2 linked regions of the Caenorhabditis elegans genome follow. The protein of the gene in region 1 purifies or fractionates together with the protein of each later gene. This does not show direct contact. Each region holds a gene or a part of one and is shown on either strand. Other genes may lie near its edges.

What was found.
Region 2: the proteins of mtrr-1 (region 1) and mthf-1 fractionate together in Caenorhabditis elegans (co-fractionation; one large-scale study listed by BioGRID). This does not show direct contact.

Annotation. Positions count from the first base shown.
Region 1 is NC_003280.10:9,280,186-9,290,752, reverse strand, and holds mtrr-1 (Methionine synthase reductase), read right to left. Parts: upstream 4,779-10,567; 5' UTR 4,776-4,778; coding exon 4,644-4,775; intron 4,575-4,643; coding exon 4,424-4,574; intron 4,257-4,423; coding exon 4,139-4,256; intron 4,095-4,138; coding exon 3,829-4,094; intron 3,712-3,828; coding exon 3,469-3,711; intron 3,353-3,468; coding exon 3,105-3,352; intron 3,059-3,104; coding exon 2,878-3,058; intron 2,595-2,877; coding exon 2,285-2,594; intron 2,236-2,284; coding exon 2,143-2,235; intron 2,094-2,142; coding exon 1,867-2,093; intron 1,819-1,866; coding exon 1,739-1,818; 3' UTR 1,621-1,738; downstream 1-1,620. UniProt on the Caenorhabditis elegans protein: Involved in the reductive regeneration of cob(I)alamin cofactor required for the maintenance of methionine synthase in a functional state.
Region 2 is NC_003280.10:7,773,520-7,784,086, reverse strand, and holds mthf-1 (putative methylenetetrahydrofolate reductase (NADPH)), read left to right. Parts: upstream 1-6,263; 5' UTR 6,264-6,337; coding exon 6,338-6,420; intron 6,421-7,581; exon of another isoform or gene 7,582-7,716; coding exon of another isoform or gene 7,717-7,736; intron 7,737-7,790; coding exon 7,791-7,865; intron 7,866-7,915; coding exon 7,916-8,288; intron 8,289-8,345; coding exon 8,346-9,083; intron 9,084-9,130; coding exon 9,131-9,544; intron 9,545-9,593; coding exon 9,594-9,748; intron 9,749-9,792; coding exon 9,793-9,946; 3' UTR 9,947-10,179; downstream 10,180-10,567. Other genes in the region: skr-17 (Skp1-related protein), read right to left, coding at 1-122, 172-209; Spindly-like protein spdl-1, read right to left, coding at 874-1,077, 1,123-1,755, 1,804-2,127, 2,174-2,416, 2,465-2,500; snpc-1.1 (snRNA-activating protein complex subunit 1), read left to right, coding at 2,878-2,975, 3,024-3,108, 3,159-3,236, 3,282-3,350, 3,396-3,605, 3,650-3,968, 4,030-4,111, 4,158-4,442 and 1 more; C06A8.6 (U2A'/phosphoprotein 32 family A C-terminal domain-containing protein), read right to left, coding at 10,222-10,323, 10,374-10,532.

The sequences.
Region 1 (10,567 bases):
AAATCTAATTTTTCAAAAACGAAAGCAATCTACTCGGAATATCTAATTTTTAAAATTTAAATACAATTTCGGGAACAATTTTGTTTTTGAAATTAATATTTTGGTTCAAATTACCTATGGTTGAAGACATCTCTCACTTGTCCAATTCGGTGAATTCTATCGTATATTCGCTGCTCAAGAGCAGCATTCCAATGGACATCCATCATAATCATATGACTTGCGCTGGTCAGGTTGAGTCCAACTCCACCGGATTCTAATGAGAGTAGCAAAATCTGACCCACTCTGGCATTGCAATCACAATGTTTCCAGAATACAGCTTCACGAAGAAATGGAAGACGACAGGAACCTAACAAGACTGAATAAGTCCCATAAGTTATTATTAATCGGAGTTCCCGTGAGACACCATCTAGAAAAGGATGAGAGCAAGCAAATAGCTTGTATTCTTTGTGAAGTGAGCATCATCGAGAATTATGCGCATCCATGCAATGCGAGCGAGAATTGAGTCTTCGTTCAGCAGAATTGTGTTGTGTTTTCCATCATTTTCTGAAAAAAAAACAAATTATAATTGGGATTTTAAAGTTGGGCAGCCCACAAGTTGGGCGTGATTTCTGAAGCTCCGCCTCTTTTCACTCATATTTCAGTCAAGATGTTCTCTTTTTTCATGTTACAAATATATGAAGCTAAGAGTGTGGCTTACCTGCATCGTCATCAATTTCCTCGTCTCTTGAACTTGTGGGCTTCTTTAGAACTTCCTTTGATACCAGGCGGTATGTTGCAATCACAATGTCAAATGAGCCAAGGCTCTCAGGGGTCAACTGTCCACTCTTGTTCCCAGTATAAACGAAAATCGAAATAAAATCCGGAGCTGCAAGATGTTTCACTTCTTCTACCCAATAGTTCACCAAAATCGGTGGTACGACTATAAGAGTGTTTTCCAACGGACACAACCCATGTTTCTTTGCAACATCTACTCGTTTTTCATCGTTCCATACTGTCTCCTGCCGTTTTTGTTTCATTTCCAGTTTCCTCTGGATAATCAGCGCAATCATGGATCGTGTTTTTCCCAGCCCCATCTCATCGGCTAGAATTCCTCCAGGTTGGGCTTGAATTTCTCGCCACATGAGCGAGTTGAGCGAATCTTTTTGATGTGGCATCAGGTTGTCGAGGAGACTGTCAGGGGCTGTCATAATGAATGTATCGCTTGTAGGAATTGTTAGACAGATGCTGCAATGATGACATATAAACATTGGAAAGACACTTTATGAAAGTGTAATTAAGTTTGGAAATTAAATACGGAAAATTCCTGTGAAAATAATTTTTTAAAGACTTTTACTCAAAAAAATGCACTGAGCCCATCGTCAGGCTGTCCAATTACGGTTTGATCTACAAAAAAAATGCGGGAATTTTCCCCCCAGGAAAAAAATCATCTCCCGCATTTCTCGAAGATCAAAACAAAATGAGGCACTTTTACACCACGTGACGAGCCCCAGTTTTTGTGAAAAAGCTACGAACTTGGTAAAATCTTGCAAAAAGCGATCAAACATCAGTTTAATTAGCAGAGCCATTCCAGTAACCTAATTCTTTTGTCATAATAAATTCCATTTTTGGTTGTACATAAAAAGCGAACAATCAACTTCATTATATTAAACTAAAGAACACCAGATCACATAAATAACACAATAAAGTGAACAAATAAAATACCCATGGCAATAAACAATTCCTATAAAAATTAAGTATACTATCCCCACACATCCTCGATGTATTGATCACTCTTTTTCAGATCCATAAGCTTCTTCTTCGCTTCCAAGTCCGGAATTCCTAAAAAAGTAAACAATAACCATTGTAAATTTCCTTTTTTTAACCTACCTTGATCACTGGCAACAATATCCGAGAAACATTGCCAAACATCTTTAGACATTCCTTTTGCGTCTCCACAGATGAAAATTTTCGACTCTGTCGATGCTGTCAAAAATGGAAGAACCTTGTCGAGATATTTTCTTAAGCCATCTTGAACTCTTTCACCCTTTTGCTCGCTTTCACAGATGATTAGATCAGTGAGGATGCCTTCGCTTACAAACATTTCAAGTTCGCTCCTGAAAATTCAAACTACGTTTTTCTTTCACGAATCAAGGAAGGACTTACATATAAATTGCATCTACAGAAGAATCACGACATCCAAAGAAGAGAACACGTGGAACATCGACAAAGTCCGATGGAGAGTCTTGTTTCAATTTTCTGGAAATTAAAAATCAATTAGAAACATTAAAAATTGAACTTATTTTACCTCAAAAAATGCAGGAATGACAGAAATACCGAGACTCCAGTTCCTGGTCCAACCATCAATAATGGCAGTTTTCCAGCCGAATTCTTTGTCATTCCAAGAGGTGGAAGTCTGAATCTAGCCGGTTCCTTTCCCAAAACTTGAACTTTATCTCCAATTCTCAAAGAATTGAGCCAATCAGTTGCGAGTCCTTTTCTCGAATGTCGACGTCCATCTGTTGCTGGGAATTCCATTTCCGAATAGATCAGACGGGCTTTTCGGTTTTCATATGATGACATACTGTACGGACGTGGGATAAGCCGTGGAAGAAGTTCTGAAACGTAAAAATTTGTAAAGAAAGTGTTAGCAACATTGTTGTTCTTAAACTTTGAAATTTCAAAAAACTTAAAATTCCGCTCAAAATGTAGTTTTTTTTAACAACTTCTTTATTTAGCTTAAAATATCGGTAAAAAATTTTAATTTTGTTTTAATAACTGGATAACGTTTTTTTTTATTTAAAAAATCTGCAACGTCAAATGAATTAGAATAATGAACCTAACTTAAAATTCAAGTAATTATTTTTATTTATTTATTATTTTTTCAACTAAACAACTCACCGATTAGTCTATCAACCGGTGGCTTCACATTTGGAAATGCGAAAAGCATGTCAGCCAATGACAATCCGGGTGTTCTAACAAAATCGGTGAAATCCTTCATTCCCTGAGCACTGCAAAGCTCCAAAAGCCGTCTTTTCTCATTTGGATCAGATGTACTTTCGGCGAGTACACGAATCAGCGGCTGAAGAAAACTACTTTTAATTTTGATTCATAAAATATGAACTCACTCTTCCTGGAGCCCGACGAATGTCTAGACACGTGGTGAACATATGACGGAGAGTTGTAATTTTGTGCACGTGTCCCGGAATTTGAGCATTGATTTTCTCAGTTTTCGGGTTAATTGAAAGCTCGCATTGTTGATCAGCAATGTCTAAAACTCCGCATCTTTTAAGGATAAAATTGACTTCAAGTGCTGGATTTGGAACACAAAAATATATGGCATCTCCCGGCTCGTATTGAAGTTCAGCAGCATGATCTGAAAATTAAAAAATGATTTTTTACTTCCAAGAAATTATAGCAGAATAATTCCAATTACTTCAAATTTTTTAACGAATCAACTGATTTTAACTGTTTTCTTCAAAAAAACCCTACCTCCGAAATCGACAGTGATCATCCGTTTCGTTTTAATTTTCTTGGAAAATGGATCAGTCACAAATTCAGCAGAGACTACAAGAACTTCGAATGGTTTCGTGACGACTCCAGGCATTTTGCACAGGTTTTGCCATTCCAATTTGGTATCTTCTGGTAGTTTTCGATTAGAAACCGACGAGACGATGAAAGGTTGAGGAGCAATTGGAACGCGCAAATTTTCATCGTTCGAGAGGGTTTGCGATCCTGTAAGTTAAGTTTTGATTTCAAATTTTTGGAGAATGTTTCTATGTGTGACACTTGACAAAAACAGTTTTTTTCAAAACTAGAACTGATTATTCCACTTTCAAAACGGTTATTCACCTTTTAAAAGAGAAATTTCGGGATAATCATAATGCTCGGGAATCAACATATCAATTCCAATAACTCTTCCTCTTCCTTCATCATCTGATTCTTCATCTTCTATTCGTTTCTGAAGTAACGCTTTCTTTTCTTCTTCAGTCTTAACTTGATTCAATTTCAAGTTTGATGATTCCGTAATTGCATTCATTTTGTCGGCGGAAATGTCGAATCTGGATGCCAGTGTTGCAAAGAATTTCTCGATCCATGGTTCAACTTCTAGTTCAAGTCTGAAAGAGGAATTACATCCTCTGAATATAAAATAAAACCAAACCCCACTTGATCGTCTGCTTCTGCACGATCAAAAAGACGATTTGCACCGAGAGCTGTCAGTTGTTTGTCAATTTTTCGAGGAATCGTTTGATAAGATGAATAGTTGGAATCGCCGAGACCTGGAAATAGTTCCTTTTCAGAATAATTTAAAAGTTAATTTTTGAGTTTGCAATAATAAAGTGCAAGAACACAAGACATTGAACTTCTTATCAGAATGATGATTAGTCATTGGCTTTTTTGAATTTTGATTTCTCTTTTTTCAATTTGCGGTTTTCAAAACTCTCACCGAGAAGAACGTAATCCAGATTCTTCAAATATTCGTTTTCCAGTGAATTTCTATTAATTCTTCTCACGAAACGTGCACAATTATCCGGTGCATCTCCATCGCCAGTTGATGAAACGACAATTGCACACAGTTTTTCTTCATTTAAATTGAACTGAAAAGTTAAATAAATTAATTTAAATTTCCAATGATTATAAAAAACAAATTGTTAAAAAAAACGTACTTTCTTCTCATTTTCATCCAGAGCGTGAAGTCTTGGCGTTAATCCGATTAACTCTGCTTTTTCCTTTAAACTTTTAGCGATAGTTTCCGCTTGCCCAGTTTGTGAGCCAAAAGCAATGAGGAAATCTGTCATTTCCTGAAAATCGATTTATTGTAGAGAAAATTTTAACGCAGGCAACGTATAATTCTGGCGGAAAAGGACATTATATTGGTCAGATTGTAATCTTGTCTGTTCAACAAGACAATGATGGCAAATTGTGATCTTTCAAAGATTGAATAACACTAACATTATCACTGTTTTTCCATTTTTTGTTAAAATTATTGTATTCAACGTGTCTCTCTTTTGGAATGAGTAAATAGTTTTTATTTTTTGAATCATGGCAACTATAAATTCTTTCTAATCTTCATTTAAAAGAGATTAGTTCTTTTTTAATAGCCGAACAAGTTTTGCATCATTATTTTTATGACGAAATATGAAAAGTGCAAGTCGGGCGCGTAATGGACGAGAATTTTTAAGGGGAAAATTTCAAAGTTGAATTAAGTTTTTGAAATATTGAACGGGAAGCTGTAAAAAACATTTTTATTCGAAGAAATACCTAAACAAAGCAAAAAAGTAAAAAAAAAGTTTTGAAAGCAGACAATCTGCATTTTTCCGTCATGGTGACTGCGGATCGTGACGAGACCTGAACATTTTCCGAAGCATGCTCCTTTAAAGTTACGGTATTTTGTTTCTGTTTTGTTTTTGAATTTACTTTTCGTTTTCAAGTTTTTTCTCTAATTTTGAATCATTTTCCCATATTTTTCAATCAAATTTTTATATCTCCACACTTTTATGAGTCTCTAATTCCTCTTCCGATTGTTTTCATGTCGAAAAACCTGAAAATCTGCCGTGCCCAATCTCAAATTTCTCCCTCTCCATTCGTGTTCTCACTGTTCCGATCTTCCGTAGCTCTCACTGTTTATATAAACAAATTGTCTGCGGCGGAAAGAGACGTCGGCGAATATCGTCAGCCCGCAAGTGGCAACCTCTCCTCTCGAATGTAAACATATCCAATACACCACTTCTTTTTTTTTCTATGTCAAGTGCTATCAAAAGTGATGAAAAGAAACTGGGAAAAGACATGTCTTCCCGTGAATCATCCAGTTCTGTTCCGGAGTAGCTAAACGTAGGAAATGCACTTTTATAGCTGAAAAAGCTGTATAAATCTGTAATCAAAATTAATTTGAATGTTTTTTTCAGTCCTCGTAGATACTTTTTATCAATAACAAACTCGATACGATTCGAATTTCCGCCCACAAAACAAAAACGGCGGTAATTGGGTAGTTGTACTGTAATTGATATATATGAATTGTGGGAGTGTGTGTGTGTGTCACAGAGCCTATTAAAATCAAATCGAATTAGAAAACTCTACAGAGAGAGCGCGTTCTTCTTATCAAGACTAGTCCTCGACAATTGATGTTGCTTCGTCATTGGCTGCAGAGAAGGGGGTTTAAACGTCGATTCGACCTTGTTTGAATTAGAAATCTTCTGTTTCGTCTGCCGTCGTAGTGTAACAATGGGCTCAGATTCGGCAAGGAGAAAGTTCGGCGCCGCAAGATTTGAACGATGTGGGTGGTTACGGATGACAATTATTTGAAAATTCCTAATATTAGTCAACTTTCGAAAGGGTTAGTTAGAATAAAATATCATATAAAATTTTGATATCGATTTCTTTAACGTGCATTCCGTGTACAGTTTCAAAAAGTCCAAAAACAAAAAAATCAGGTCAAAACCTTGAACCCTCTAGTTAATGTAAAATAAAAATTCGAAGACGCACGTGCAAAAACACAGCAATTGATCGCTGACTGGTTCGAAGGGGTTGTGTCAATGACAAGAGAATCACGAGACCCTTTTGATAAGAGAAATGATGATGATGGTGTCTTGAAGAGGGTTAGGGGCAGCTGTTTAGTTGGAATAACACATCAATATGTGTACAATTCCTCTAAAACATGTGTCAAAGATTACACATGAAAAGAAATAAAAATTCGAAAAATTGTTTGTCTTAAAATGTTTTTATCTGAAAAAGTTCCGGAATAAGTCACAAATTAGAGATCAAACAAATTTCCGGATTTCATTCATTTTTCAATATTCAAATCAGCAAACGAAAAATTCGAATCTATTCGAACTAGTTCAATTAACACCCCAACTAATTTTGGCAGTAATCGTCTCGAAAAATGAAGGCACGACGCGGAGAACTGGTTTCCTATTACTAAATATGTCAGGGTTACAGAAGAGAAGAGACAAGGGCATTCCGTTCCGTTGGTTAGATCATTATCATCAATATTTTGTTTTTAGTTTATCAAGAATTGTTTATTTTAGTTTTGGTTCGCAGTAATAACGGGATGTGGTTTAGACTTCGAAAGTTACGGTATCTTAATTTAAAAATGACGTCAACTAGACTATTCTCTAATTGGATAGAATTTAGTCAACGGGTTTTAGAAATCAATCAGTAAATTATCTCAAAATTCGTCTCTACTAGAAATTTTCAATTTGAAAATTATAGTCCAAGAAATGAGATACAAAAAATTCCTCCAAGAACAATTTAAAAAAATAGAAAAGGGTACAAATCCATTCTATTTACGATCTTTTCTACAAATTTCTCCCATGCACATAAAGCTACAGTATGTCGGTTGATTTTCTAATGGAGACGGCTCTTTTCTGACTTAAAAGTTGAGAGAAATATAATTTATATTTCTGACTACATCTAATAGTAAGAAGCTTGAGAGCGCTTAAAAATTAGAAATTACTAAAATAATTTAACTTTTTAGTAAGTGTATGCTTTTTTCGAATAATTTAAAATAAGAATTACTCAAAAATTGTAAGATATTTAAGCACAAAAACTCTTTTAGTTAAACGAACAAAGCACTGTTATACATAAGCATGTATGTATATATCTATATAACAAAAATGTACTATAGACTCAATGTTGAAGGGAAGGAAAGACACAAGGGCAGGCCAGTTCGTTTCGTAGGCAATAGAGACTCGTTGCGGCCACCTCTCTCTTGCAAACGCTATTTCCTCGCTATCCTTCACTTACACACTCGCACATAAGAGACCGCCCGTGTCTCGAGTCTCCACTTTTTACATGCTCTTTCATCAAGTATACGGTGTCTGATGCATCTCTCTGGTTTCTCTCGTCTATTGATTGAGAAATGTGTGGGGATAGGGGGCGCAGCACGACGAAAAACGAAAAAGCGACGTTAGAGAGATGGAGAGTGTCTGTGGTTGTGTGTGTGTGTGCCTCAACCATCTTCGGCAGAATTTGTTGAATAGACATTTATCTCACGTTTTTTTTCGTAGATTTGAAAAGTAGATTTTTTCCGCTAATTTTGTTATTTTATGAGAATCTTTTAACATTTAACTACTTACTTTTATAAATTCCGCGCAATTTTCGTTCAGAAGTTCAACATTTTGGATTTTAGAATAATGATTTTTAAAATAACTGAAATACAATACAAAATTCAATTTATTTTATGTAAATTTAAATATTTTAGTTCAGAATTAGAAAAAAAAACATCAAAAATAATCCAATTTGTTTTGTTTTTGAATTTTTATTAATGATTTTTTAATATCATATAATACTTTTTGCGAAAAGAAATGTTCGTTATTTTCTAATTTTCAGTGCCCTTGGTCTTTTAATTTTTTATAAGTAGTCAACTATTATATAAAATTCAGAAAAATTTCCAATTTTTCATTATTCGTTGCTAATGAAATTTTAGAAAAAGAAAATGTCACGAGTAGTATATTTTCAAATTTATTATGCATATTTTTGGAATTACTAATGTGAAATTTCTTGGTGTTTAATTTTGGTCACTTTTGGAAGTTAAATGAAATTCTCGGAATCGTGACTCAACTAGACTTTTTTTTCAATCAAATTAAATAATTTCAGTGGTCTTTGTTTTGTTCAATTATTCCTTCAAAAAGTTATGAATCATACTTTATGAAAACAAAAAAGAAAAAAATCAATTAGTGACACCTGGCACCAGTTTTTTCCAGCTGCTGAACAGATTCCGTATTTTATAGTTTTTTTTTCAACTTTTTACGGAAAACTATTGACGAAAAATATGAAATAATCAATATTGTTCTGTAAATTCCTCATTTTCTGAACAACCTACGCACAATTTACAATTTTCAATCCAATGGGGATACTGTAGAAAAGGTTTCTGAACGAAGGAAAAGAATGTGAAAAAACGGGGAAAACATTTCGCAATCATCTTTTCTCTCTCACTCTAAGAGTTCGTTTTCTTTTTTCTTTTCTCTCGCAAATACACACACACACAACGACACATCCATTATTTCTCCCCCACACACACAATTTTCCGCTTTTTTCCTGATGCTCCATTGCTCTTAGCAATTTTCTGCGTGTGTGTGGAAATTATCCAATAATTTTATGAAAAGTAACTCTATCAATTAGCCCCACGGACTACCAAAATTTCTTGGCATTTGCCTGTCATAAATGTATTTTATGGGGTCGCTGAGCAGCACTTTTCACCAATTTTCAAAGCCCACTTTGTCCAAAAAAGGCAGATACTGTAGTTTTATGTGAAAATTGAAGAAAATTGGAGAAACATGCTCTGCTAGACTAGTATTATCTACTTTTTTTCTAGACTACAATTTATTTTACGATTTTTATCTATTTTTGGCTCACGTTTTCTTGTTTCCAGGCAACTAGTTATTTTGGGTTTTTTTTCGTATTTTTGTAGACTTGTTGTGGAGATTTTGAGTACAAAAGTTGAAATGGAACATTAACTATTATTTATTTTTCAAAAATTTCCAAAAAAAAAGTGTATTTTTCATCATGAAAAATGTTTTCAAAGTTTAATTTTCCTCTATTATTTAAATTAATTCATTTCAATTTTCGACTCTCGAAAATAATAATTTTTGTGTCAATTTTTTCTGGTTTTCCTCAGCTCACACCGCTTTTTTCTCGATTTTTTGGGCTGTCCTCTAGGAAAAAAAACTTTTCGCAACCCATTTTTTTCATTTCACTTACCCTAACTCTCCATATGTCGTCTCCCGTCCGACACCAATATTGACATAAACTTTTTTCAAAAACTAAAGTACACAAAAAGGGTCCAGTCATTCATCAACGAGGGAATTGAAATCTTGAGAATAAAACCTTGTAGCTATTTTTTGAAATTGGAAATTGTTTAAAAATTCTCATATAGTTCTGAGATATTTTACTATCGTAGAAAAACGTTACAATTTTTTGAGACTTTTTAAAAATTAACAGTAAAAAATCAGGTAAAATAGTTTTGGAAGCCGACCAAAAAACCCAAAATTTTTTGAGAAAAAATCTAAAATTGTTTTATTTATTATGATCACTTTCGATTATTATAATTATATTTCTACAAAATCCCCACTACTCCACCTTAAATAAAATGAACATATCTTCAATTTAAAATCAAATACTTTGACACCTTCATTTTTCCATTATCAACTACAAAAAACAATTGTTGTCAATCTTTTTCTACCGTTTTCCGTCACTTTTTCAATTGACAGTCGACCGATTTATTTTTTGATCGATCGATCGTTTTTATTATCTATTCGATAATATGAATGATAATATCGTGCCTGTCCGTCTCTCTTTTTTCACTTACTTATTCTTCTATTCATTTCTGCAGCTGATAGTAATTTGGCTTTGAAAACGGAAAAAAACTATAGACAATGTTTTTCTTAATTTAAAAATATTTCTGGAACTTTTTACTTAATTTTTTAGCTAATCAAAAAAACTATAATTTTCACGATTTCAATTTTTTTTTTCAAAATTTCTGAAGACCCAGAATAGCGGCCGAAAGATCACATTTTCTTTCTATTAAAACTTGATTGAACGATAATTGTACTTTTCACACCACTGATTGCCTTTTCTCTCGTGATTGAATTTG
Region 2 (10,567 bases), 1.5 Mb from region 1:
CTCTGATGGTTGCAGCAAGTGTACTTGAGAGGAGGAGGGCCCGGATGTCTCCCTGCAACAAATGTCCATCTGAGGATGTCAGTTGAAGTAATCGAGGTGGCGGACCGGACGGCTTTGGTACACTAAACGAAATATTAGATAATTATTTTTATCAAAATGTTATAAAAATACCTTGGTGGTGCTCGTTTTGTATTGTTCTTCTTCGGCATCTGCTTTCCGGACGAAATGTGATGTCTGAAATGGAAAAATTAGAAAGGAAACGAAATTTTGCTGAGAAAATGATCTTAAAAACTTTTTGTCGAACACCATTCGCCACAGAGCGCATTTGCGTTCTTGTTCTACTTCATTCGGCGGCAAATTCAAATTTTAAAACACCCTCGCACAACACAAAAAATCATCGTAAATATTAAAAACGATCAATATCATGCGAACCCCACACCAGAACAAATTCGAACGGTTTACAATTTTTAAATTTTAAGCTCTCTCAAATGTTACTAGTAGTAAGAACTGAACCTATATCGAAAGCATATCCATACGAGATCTCCGAAGATTGTAGGGAAGAGAAAATCTGGAAAATATTTTTCTATATTCTACCCCATATTTACAATAATAAATATTAAAAATATATAAATCAATAAGTGATCGTGTAATATCGATAGGGTTTCGCGCTCCACTGCACTCCCGCCAGCGGCTCTATCAAGTTCTTGAACATCAACAATCTAAGAATGAGCGTTATAATAAAAATAATTTTATTTGACATGCATTAAATAGGAAACATTGTAGAATAATCGACAAAACTTGGTGAATAGAGGGGACGAGATCAATACAGGCGGTTTTATATGAATACGAGATGACTACGAACATGATGTTTACTCAGTTTTCCTTTGTTTCTGAGGTTGATGGCATTTGAAGAACAGCCGGTTTGAATTTTGGAACGGGCTCGGACAGTTTGATATAGTTGTAACGCGGCGTCGGAGTCGCCAATTTCTTTTCAGCTTGAGCTTTCATACGACGTTCTGCCCATTCTGAAGTATCATCTTTGATGGAGGAACGAGTGGTGAATTTAGCTGCTGGTTTCTGGAAAAATAATTATTTATAGTGAAAAGTTGCACTTTTATCTACCTGTGGCGTAACGGCAATACTGGATAATGAATGCCCTAATTGAGGCATGGGTTCCACGTTTTTCGGTTTAATGAAGAATGATGGTCGTCCATTGTTAAGAGTTTTCAGAGGAGCAGCAAGAAGCGGGTGCTCGAAATCCTTATTGACAACTGGTGCAGCTTTTCTGTGAGCACATTTATTGTCGAATTGTAGTTGCACAATGTCCGCTTTGAGATTTTCTACTTCCTGTTGCAATCCACGAATAATTGTCACGTACTTTTCGTTGTCCTTCATCAAACCGTCAAAACCTCCTTTCACGCTCGCAATTGACAATTCGAACGACTTGAAGTAGCCGGTAATCAACGCTCCCACTTCGCGTTTTGGAATTGACCTCATTTTAATGAACATTCTTTCCCACAAATGAACCCTTTCCGTTTCCAGGTGACAAACTCTGTCTCTGAGACGACGCATCTCTTTGACATCAATATCACTTGTGGTCATTCGGGTAACGTTGAATCTTTTTGTGGATGACCGAAGTCTTTCTTCGACTTCTTCTACTTCCATTCGAAGACGTTTTACCATCCCTTTCAGTGCTCGATTCTCTCCATGAAGAACTTTCAGGTCTTCTTCAACCTTCCGCTCGGCATCAATAACCTGAAGAATATTAAAAAAAATGCAGTTAATTGATATTTTTTAACCTACCTCAGAAAACATTGAATTTCCGCGTGCCGCTAATTTTCCTTCATGGGAGTTTCTCTCATCAAAAAGCTCTCCTTCCAATCTGGCAATTTCCTCATCACGCGTCTCCATATGATTTTTGAGGTCCCGAATATGATCCATCATCGACTCAATTTCATCTTTCAAGTTGACCGCTTCTTTTTCGAGTTCGGCGTTTCGTTCGTAAAGAGCAGTCGCCGTCTCTTTGTATTTCTGACAATCTTCGCTAATACGAAGCATTTCAGATTCTCCGAAGGAATTGGAATCATCATGTTCGGGAATCACTGATCCGTTGGCAAACTCCTTATTCTGAGAATTCAATATATTAATGTTGCCCACAATGATGAAAACCTACAATTTTTTCGAGTTTGTCGATCTCACTACGCAGTGAATCGATGAGAGCGTCCCGATCAAGAATTGTGGCGTTTTTTCCGTCCATCTCAACATGAAGATCGCGAAGTTGTTCACTCAATTCTTGTGCACGTTCTTCGAGTGAAAGTTTGGAAGAACAAGGTTTTCCCTGATTTTTGAGATCGTCTTCCATCTCCTCGAGCATTTCATCTTTTTGACGGAGAATTTTCTTGAGCCTCTCAACGTCCTGAAATATTAGGTTTAGTTGGTAATAGATGAAATGATAAAACGTTACAGCAAGTAATTGGAGCTTCTCCTCGTCGTCAGGCATACTGATTGAAGTTCGATTCTTCTGAAAACATGAAAATGTTTCGATAGAAAACGATCAGTAGAATATTTTTCACGGCAACACGATTTATAAGAACGTTTCACGCAGATCTATAGCTTTTGATGTTTTAATAAAGCGTAAAATTGATTGCGAATATATTTAAACTAATTTTATGGGAATATTTTGAGCTAAATTATATCAAAACGATTGAAAAACAATATTTTTAGGTAAATTGAGGCGCAACTCATTTTGAAATGCGTTGAATACCGCTGGTTCCCGCCGAGAATTGGTTGTTCACGATAGAGCGCACTTGCATGTTTTTATTTTCGTCAATTATTTTCGGATTTATTTCTGAAGATTCAAGGAAAAAACGAGTCGCAATGGCTTCTGGAGGTATTCCCACGCCATTTATGGGAACTGGAGTTAAACAAGATCTTCATTTATTGTGCAACAAGTTTATATCTATGGGATCCAACAGGTATAGTTAGAAAATGTATTATTTGATGGAAAATCTTGATTAATTAAGAATTCGAGACTTTGCTGATGTTTTTCGGGATATGCATTTTGAGACCATTCTTCATTATCGATTAAATCCTGCCGAATGCTTAGAGGTAGCTTTATTTTGATTTTATTTAGTCTATTATAATATTCCGGCTTTCAGTTTACTGAATACCTGTTACAACACGCAGCAATGTATTTCGGAAAAGTGAATGAAGTTGGAGCATTCAGGGCATTCAAGGTTTGAAATAGAAGTAAAAATAAGTCTGAAATGTTATATTTTCAGGAGAGGCTATTCGGAGTTTATGTTTGCTATGCGTTGTACAATTTGCAGCCAGTTGATCATGTCTGTCAGGTGATTAATTCTAAGTTTAATTTAGTTTTAAAAAATTTAATTCAGATTCCGGTCACTGCGGTACAATTCGAAGAGCTTCTCGAATTTCAAAAATCTTTAGAAGTCGAAAAACTTCTTGAACCAATTGCGGCTCTCAAAATGCTTATTCTGAAGAAAGCGTTTAGAATTAAAGTGTTTCAGTCGACATATGATCCGGCAACCCACAAAAAATACCTTGCCGAGGAAGAGTTGCCCTATTTTAACAAAATTCCAGTTGTAAGTAAGTTAAATTATTGGAATTTTTTCATAAACAGTTTCAGGAGCCGTTTTCCAGTGTTACGAAAATGCTCAGTTCTGATATTATGACGGAATTATCATTTATTCACGGAGTTTACACAGAGGCTAAGCAAAAACTTGGACTAAGTGATACTCTAACGGGGCTCAAATCACCATTACACGAAATCAAGGGCATTGTCGAAAAATATAAAGAACAGTTCGAAAGTTCTCCAACAAATCCAGAAATTAGTAGCGCTCCAGAGGAAACAGCTGGTTCAAGCAGATCAACTTTGAGAAGTAAAGCATATGCTGAAGGACTAAAACACACTAGACAAAGAAGGCATCTTGATCCAAACATGGAAGGTACATTTATTACACGAAAATATGTTTTTTTTTTTCAAAAGTCAGCGTTCAACTTTTGCAGAAAACTTCAAACATCTTACCGCAAGAACGTTTGGTGACATCGCCCAGGAATGTTTGGATGATAATGATGCTCAGGTTCCAATGTAAGCAATTACAGTTTAACCCCAAAATAATAACCTATTTTTACAGCCCGATTGATCGCCCTGTAAGACAACGGCGACGCAGAAAAACGACAACAGTTAATCCTGAAGAGTTATTAGACGATAATGCATTGGCTGAAGAAGTTCTACGAAATGAGTATGCTGCCAGAATAAAGCCTGAAATACCTGAAGATTCATTGGGCGGTAAAGTAGGCAAGCAGGGAACATCGGGAGTTGCAAGAATTCGGGCACCAAAACGTGCAAATGCGAAATTGGTTGAAGTGAAACGAGAACAAATCCCACAAACTTCTGCTCCGATAACTGCTTCCCAAATGTAAGTGAAGATTTTTGTTTTTTTCTTCAATTAAAAATTATTAAATTATTCAGTGACGAATCATTCACATCGCCTGCGAACAAGAAGAACAGAAAATCGGCCAGCGTAGTTGAAGTGAAACCTCGAATCAGTGATGAATGGGCCAACAAACTGCACGCATGGCATGGACAAGTCGAGGCTACGGATAAACATTTGAAAAAGTTGACAAGTCAAATTAAGCTGGAAGTTATTGAAGACGAAGAAACATAATCATTTCATTTTCCTTGCTAACCATTTTTTTTAATGAAAATTATACTACATGAATTTTTTTTTTGAAAATTAAATTAAATTTGCTGCTGAGTTGCCTATCATCTCCGACTTTTGTTATTTTATTAATCTCTGTTGGTTCAATCTTTTCAATCTTATACTTTTATCTGTCCAACTTCCAATTATCACCAGTGATAAATCGCCGCAAAAGACCAATTGAAATGGCCTGATATCGTGCATTACATGATTATTTCATACAGTTATCATCTTGTGCTGTAGCCCATTCGTGAAAGCATTGAGTGCACTTTTCAGAATCTTGTTGTAGTTCTACTGAAAATTGGTTTTAATCCTATAGGATAAAATTTTCGTTTGTGATGGGAAGGCAGTATTGAGAAATTGTGGTTTTCGTTTGAAAACGTACTATGCTAAAGTTCTCTTCAAATGACGATTAGTTCAAGGTCTTGCTTAGTTTCCCATTCTTTCTTGAGATACTATCAAATAGTAACTATCTACGACTTTCTTACTTATCCTTTTTTTCTAGAACGCATCCGTATTTTCTCAGTTACTCTTGCACCAAATAACTTATATGACTGCAGATATCAGAAAATATTTAATATGTTATAAAAACTACAAAAAAAAAATTTTGTTTTGAGAAAACAACAGAATTTTCAAAGTTGAATAATAGAGCAAATACCTAAATGCTAAATTTCGCTGTTTAAAAATTACGGTACCCGGTCTCGAAACGGCCAATAATTTTCAGTGAAAGGAGAGGAGTGCGGTTTTAAGGAGTACCGTTGTTCAATTTTTCTTAGTTTTCACACTCACTGTTTATTAAAAATTGAAGCTTAAAAAACAGGAAACGATAAAAAACTAAGAAATCAGCAAACTGCTGAAACTACTGTACTCTTTAAAGGCGTACACTTGTTTTTGTTGACATATTTTTAATCGTGTCAGGTACCGTACAACATGGCACTGGCATCTCCATATAAACATCACTGCATAAGACAAACAAAGAGAAGTTCCACGTTGAACTATTTGGCAAATTTTTGGCAAAACATTATTGTTGTTGCCCCGATAACAACCCAACCAAATCGTTCACAGGTCATCATGCACCAAAATATTGTTAATACTCATTTGTTATCAAATTAAAAGACTTCCCCACTCACTTTTTCTGCTTCAAATACCGCTATTTTCAAAAAATGTTTCGATTTATCTTTTTTGTCTTTTGTAAGAATCCGATTTCTATGAAGGAATCGGCGCCCCGCTGAGAATGTGTATTGCTTCATGTATGCAAAAGTGCACTGAGTGCCACGACGAACGCTTTAGTGAGAGAACGAGAGACCCAGCATGCTATGTTCCTTCTATATAAATATTGAACAAAACAAGTGGTTTTATGCCAGAAGCACGTTTGTTTCTCATTTTCTTGTCATTTTTGCTTAGATTAAGAACATTTAGCGGACATTGATAGTTCTATGACTTCTCTTTTTTCCAATTTACCAACCGTTTGCCACCTTAACGCTCCGCCCTTTTCTCTGATTGTATAAAAGAATCGGACTTAATACGAGCAAATTTCAGTCGGTGAATCTCATCAAACAACGGATTCGTGGTTCCCGACAGAGAATAACTACGGTTAAAACGAACCAAGGAAAATGACGAATACTGGAGAAACTAAAGTTATTGAATCTCATGGAACCATTAAGAAGATCGATTCTCTGTCCACAATGCCATATTGGTAGGTTCTTTATATTAATCTTCTAAACTTAGAGCATCTTTTTATGTCTCAAAATGCTTTTAAAAAAAGCACTGAAATATGCCTCCTTTCTACCAATTCTACCTACTTGACCTCTATCTTATCAGAAGACATGTCTACCACCCATTTGTCCCACTGCGATCACAAACTGATCTCTTATCAGTGTCAACTGTTGGATACCATTGATATTCACGTGATTTGGGCATTTTTATATTGTTGAGAGTGAAAACCTTTCAAAAAAAAAATACAATTTCTGTTCAATTTCAAGAACTTGAAATTTTCAAAAAAAAAGCACGCTGATTATGGCTAAAGTTAGAATGTTTAGTTAAAAAAAAAGAAACATATGAGAAAATGCAGAAAATGACCTGAAAGTTGCCAATTACCGAAAAACAAAGCTTGATAATTCGACAATCGGCAATTTGCAACTTCCAAGTAATTTTTAAGCACTTTTTCAAAATTATCATCCGAAGTAAACTATATTTACAGCTAAATCGATTGATTTCCTATATTTTAAAACTAATTTTTAACGAAAAATGTCGGAGAAACATGGTGCATTTATATACTAGAATTGTCCAAAATATTTGCAAGTTGCAACCTTTTGAATCACAAATAGTATTTTTTTCAAAAATGAGCTAATTGACTTTTAGAAACATAGTAATTACTTATCGTTGCTAATGATTTCATCTCTTATCACCCCACAATATCTTATCAATGAAGGTGAACACGGCAGAGTACAAAACGTGTCTATTATCAGAAAAAAGTTTGTTAGTCCTCTGCGACACATTATTCTCTCTGCACTCGGAAAAGATCGAATACTGATCTATCAAATTTAAATCTAACCGTGTTTTCTTGCCTTCTAGGAGACAATTTGATCAGTATCTCTCTATTAAGTGGAACAAAAGACACCAAGCAAGAAATTTCCAAGGAAAAATACAGGGAAATAATTTATTCGATCCGAAATTTCAAACAAGAAAAAGCTAATATATCATTGATGATAGTGAATTATTATTTCGATGTAGCACTGTATTAGTTCAACATCAGCTTTTTGTTTTCCGAAGTTCTGAAAAATTTGAAAAAAAGTACTTTCCTACTGTGTCAGTATCAAAGAACAAGTTGTCCAAATCATAATTGTTACGTTCCTAGATCTCTCCCGAGATTCATATCGAATCACATGATGATTCTGGAGAAGATATATAACACTCCGCCCTTAGAATCCTGTTTGCCACATTTCTTCATTTGTCGCTAACAAATTTTGTTTCCTCGGAGACTCTAGTTGAAATGGCCGTTTTAAGTAAAAAGTGGGTTGTTGATTCAGGTTTTTTGATCGAATAATATAATATTTTGAATTTCAGTGGTGTTGAGACCGATGAGAATGCGGTTGTCGAGGAGAAGATAACTCTGGAATCTGGAAAGAGCTGGTCACCAAAGTAAGTTTTGATCAGATATAAAGCTATTACTAAACAAATTTATATTTCAGGCATTATGAACTTCTTCACGAGAGAATTGAACGTCTTATCGATGAGAAACAACAATTCTTCTCTCTTGAATTCTTCCCACCTCGATTTGTCAATGGAGTTCCAAACTTCTTAGAGCGTGTTGAACGTCTTTCCGAAGGTGGATCCGTCTTTGTCGATATGACATGGCATATGGGAAGTGATCCAGCTAACGTCGATAAAGTGACTTCATCGTCTTCGATTGCTGCTTCAATGCTTGATTATTGTGGAGTCGACACTATGTTGCATATGACTTGTGTTCAATACAATAAAGCTGATACTTTGAAACATCTCGAGCAAGCCAAGGCAATGGGATTGAGAAGTATTCTTGCTTTGAGAGGAGATCTCCCACCGGGCGTAAGTTAATCATGAAACAAGATTGTCAAAAAATTAAATAATATTTTTCAATTTTAGACTGAGCTCGAAGATACCCATCAATTCCGTGCACTTGATATGATCCGCTGGATCCGCGAAGAATATGGAAACTACTTCTCAATTGGTTGCGCAGGATATCCTCTTGGACATCCACAAGCTCCGTCTTACAAAGCTGATCTTATGTACTTGAAGGCAAAATGTGATGCTGGAGCAAACTTCGTCATTACTCAATTATTCTTTGAGGCTGAAACTTTCGAAAAGTTTGTGCGCGACTGCCGTGAAATTGGAATCACTCAGCCAATTATTCCGGGAATCATGCCAATTATGGGTTATGAGTCTATCAAACGTATTGCCAAACTCTCACAACTTGAGATTCCACAACATATTCTTGATGATCTCGAACCAATCAAGCACGATGATGATGCTGTTCAAAAGTACGGAACAGAGCGTTGCATTGAAATGTGCCGCCGTCTTCTTGACAATGGAACTGCCCCTTCCATCCATCTATACACTATGAATCGTGAAGGAAGTATTCGTGAAATTCTCAAATCTCTTGGTCTCTGGAAACTCGAGGGTGATCGTGTTTTCCCATGGAAAAATCGTTCGCAACATCCTATCAGATGTCTGGAAAGTGTTCGTCCAATTTACTGGAGTTTCCGCCCACGCAGTTACATCACCAGAACTCGTGATTGGGATCAATTCCCTAACGGAAGATGGGGAAACAGTTCATCGCCAGCATTTGGAGATGTCAGCAGCTACTACTTGTCTAATTTGACGGTTCGTTCAAAGATTGTGTTAGAACTTTCTCACAGATAAAATTTCAGACTGTTCGAAACGCCGATGACCGTCTAGCTATGTTCGGAGCCAACATCGAGAGTTTTGAAGACGTCAAGCGCGTGTTCATCAACTACATTACTCAAGCTCCAAACGCCGATGGCGTCAAGGTTACTGTACTTCCATGGACAGAAGCTGAAACTGGTGTTCAGCCAGAAACTTCATTGATCAGTGAACAACTTGTTTGGTGTAATGAGAATGGAATTCTGACCGTCAACAGTCAGCCATCAGTTAATGGAGCTCCATCCACTGATCCACTTGTTGGGTGGGGAAAACCAGGAGGTTACTGCTACCAAAAGGCATACCTCGAATGCTTCATGACCGCGGAGTTGTCCGACAAGCTCATTCAAATCATCGAGAGAGAATTCCCAGTCAGAGTTAACTACCATGCCATCAATAAGGATGTATGTTTAAAAAGTAATTTTAAAAACCATAAAATAAATTCTTCTTCAGAGTACCTTCGACAAGACCAACAGCGAAGAAACCACTCCGATTGCAGTTACTTGGGGAGTATTCCCAGGATCTGAGATTGCCCAGCCAACAGTCGTCGATCCACTCTCTTTCCGCGCATGGAGAGATGAAGCTTACCAAATGTGGATGGCCCAATGGTAAGGTATCTAATCACTCGTTCTGTCTAATTGTTTAATTTTAGGGGAGATTTTTATCCAAAAGAATCTAAATCATATGGAGTCATCAAGGCTGTTCATGATGAGTTCCGTTTGGTTACTCTCGTCGACAACGACTTCCAGAAGCCATCAGTTCTTTTCGACGTACTTCAAAAGGCCCTCGACGAGCTGAAAAAGTAAAAATCATCAAACTAATTTGACTTTTTGACACGTCTGATTTCAATTCATTCAATTTTCCACCACGATATTCACTTCCGTTGATGAAATACACCATTGGTTGGGACACTTCCCCTTATTCTCTATTACCAGTATTACCCTATTAAGTTTTAGCTTCAACAACCCCCGATTCAAAATCGCTCCCTCTTTTATTTTATTTATTTCCGGCTTCCTTGTTTAATAAAATATCAATAATCAAGAAATCTTCATCTAGTTGAATAAATGCTAAAGTTCAAGTATTAGACGGACTCAGTGGGATGATCATCAGACGGATTATCAAGTACAACACGCGAAAGCTCTGTCTCATTCTTCTCTTCTTTTGGTGGACGGAGCATCGAATGCTGAAATTAAAAAACAAATTGAAGATTAATTTAATTAAGTTTTAAATTACCTCACGGCACTGAGTTCCATCAAGACGAGTAATTTGTTGCAAGAGATGAATAACCTTTCCACGATAAGTATCCACTGATGCAATTGGATTGAAATCGAGGTAAACACTATTGAGTTGTGGAAGTTCAACCAATTCATCCATAATGCTCCAGTTATCCAACTAAAATTAACAAAGAATTGATTAGTTATGGAATG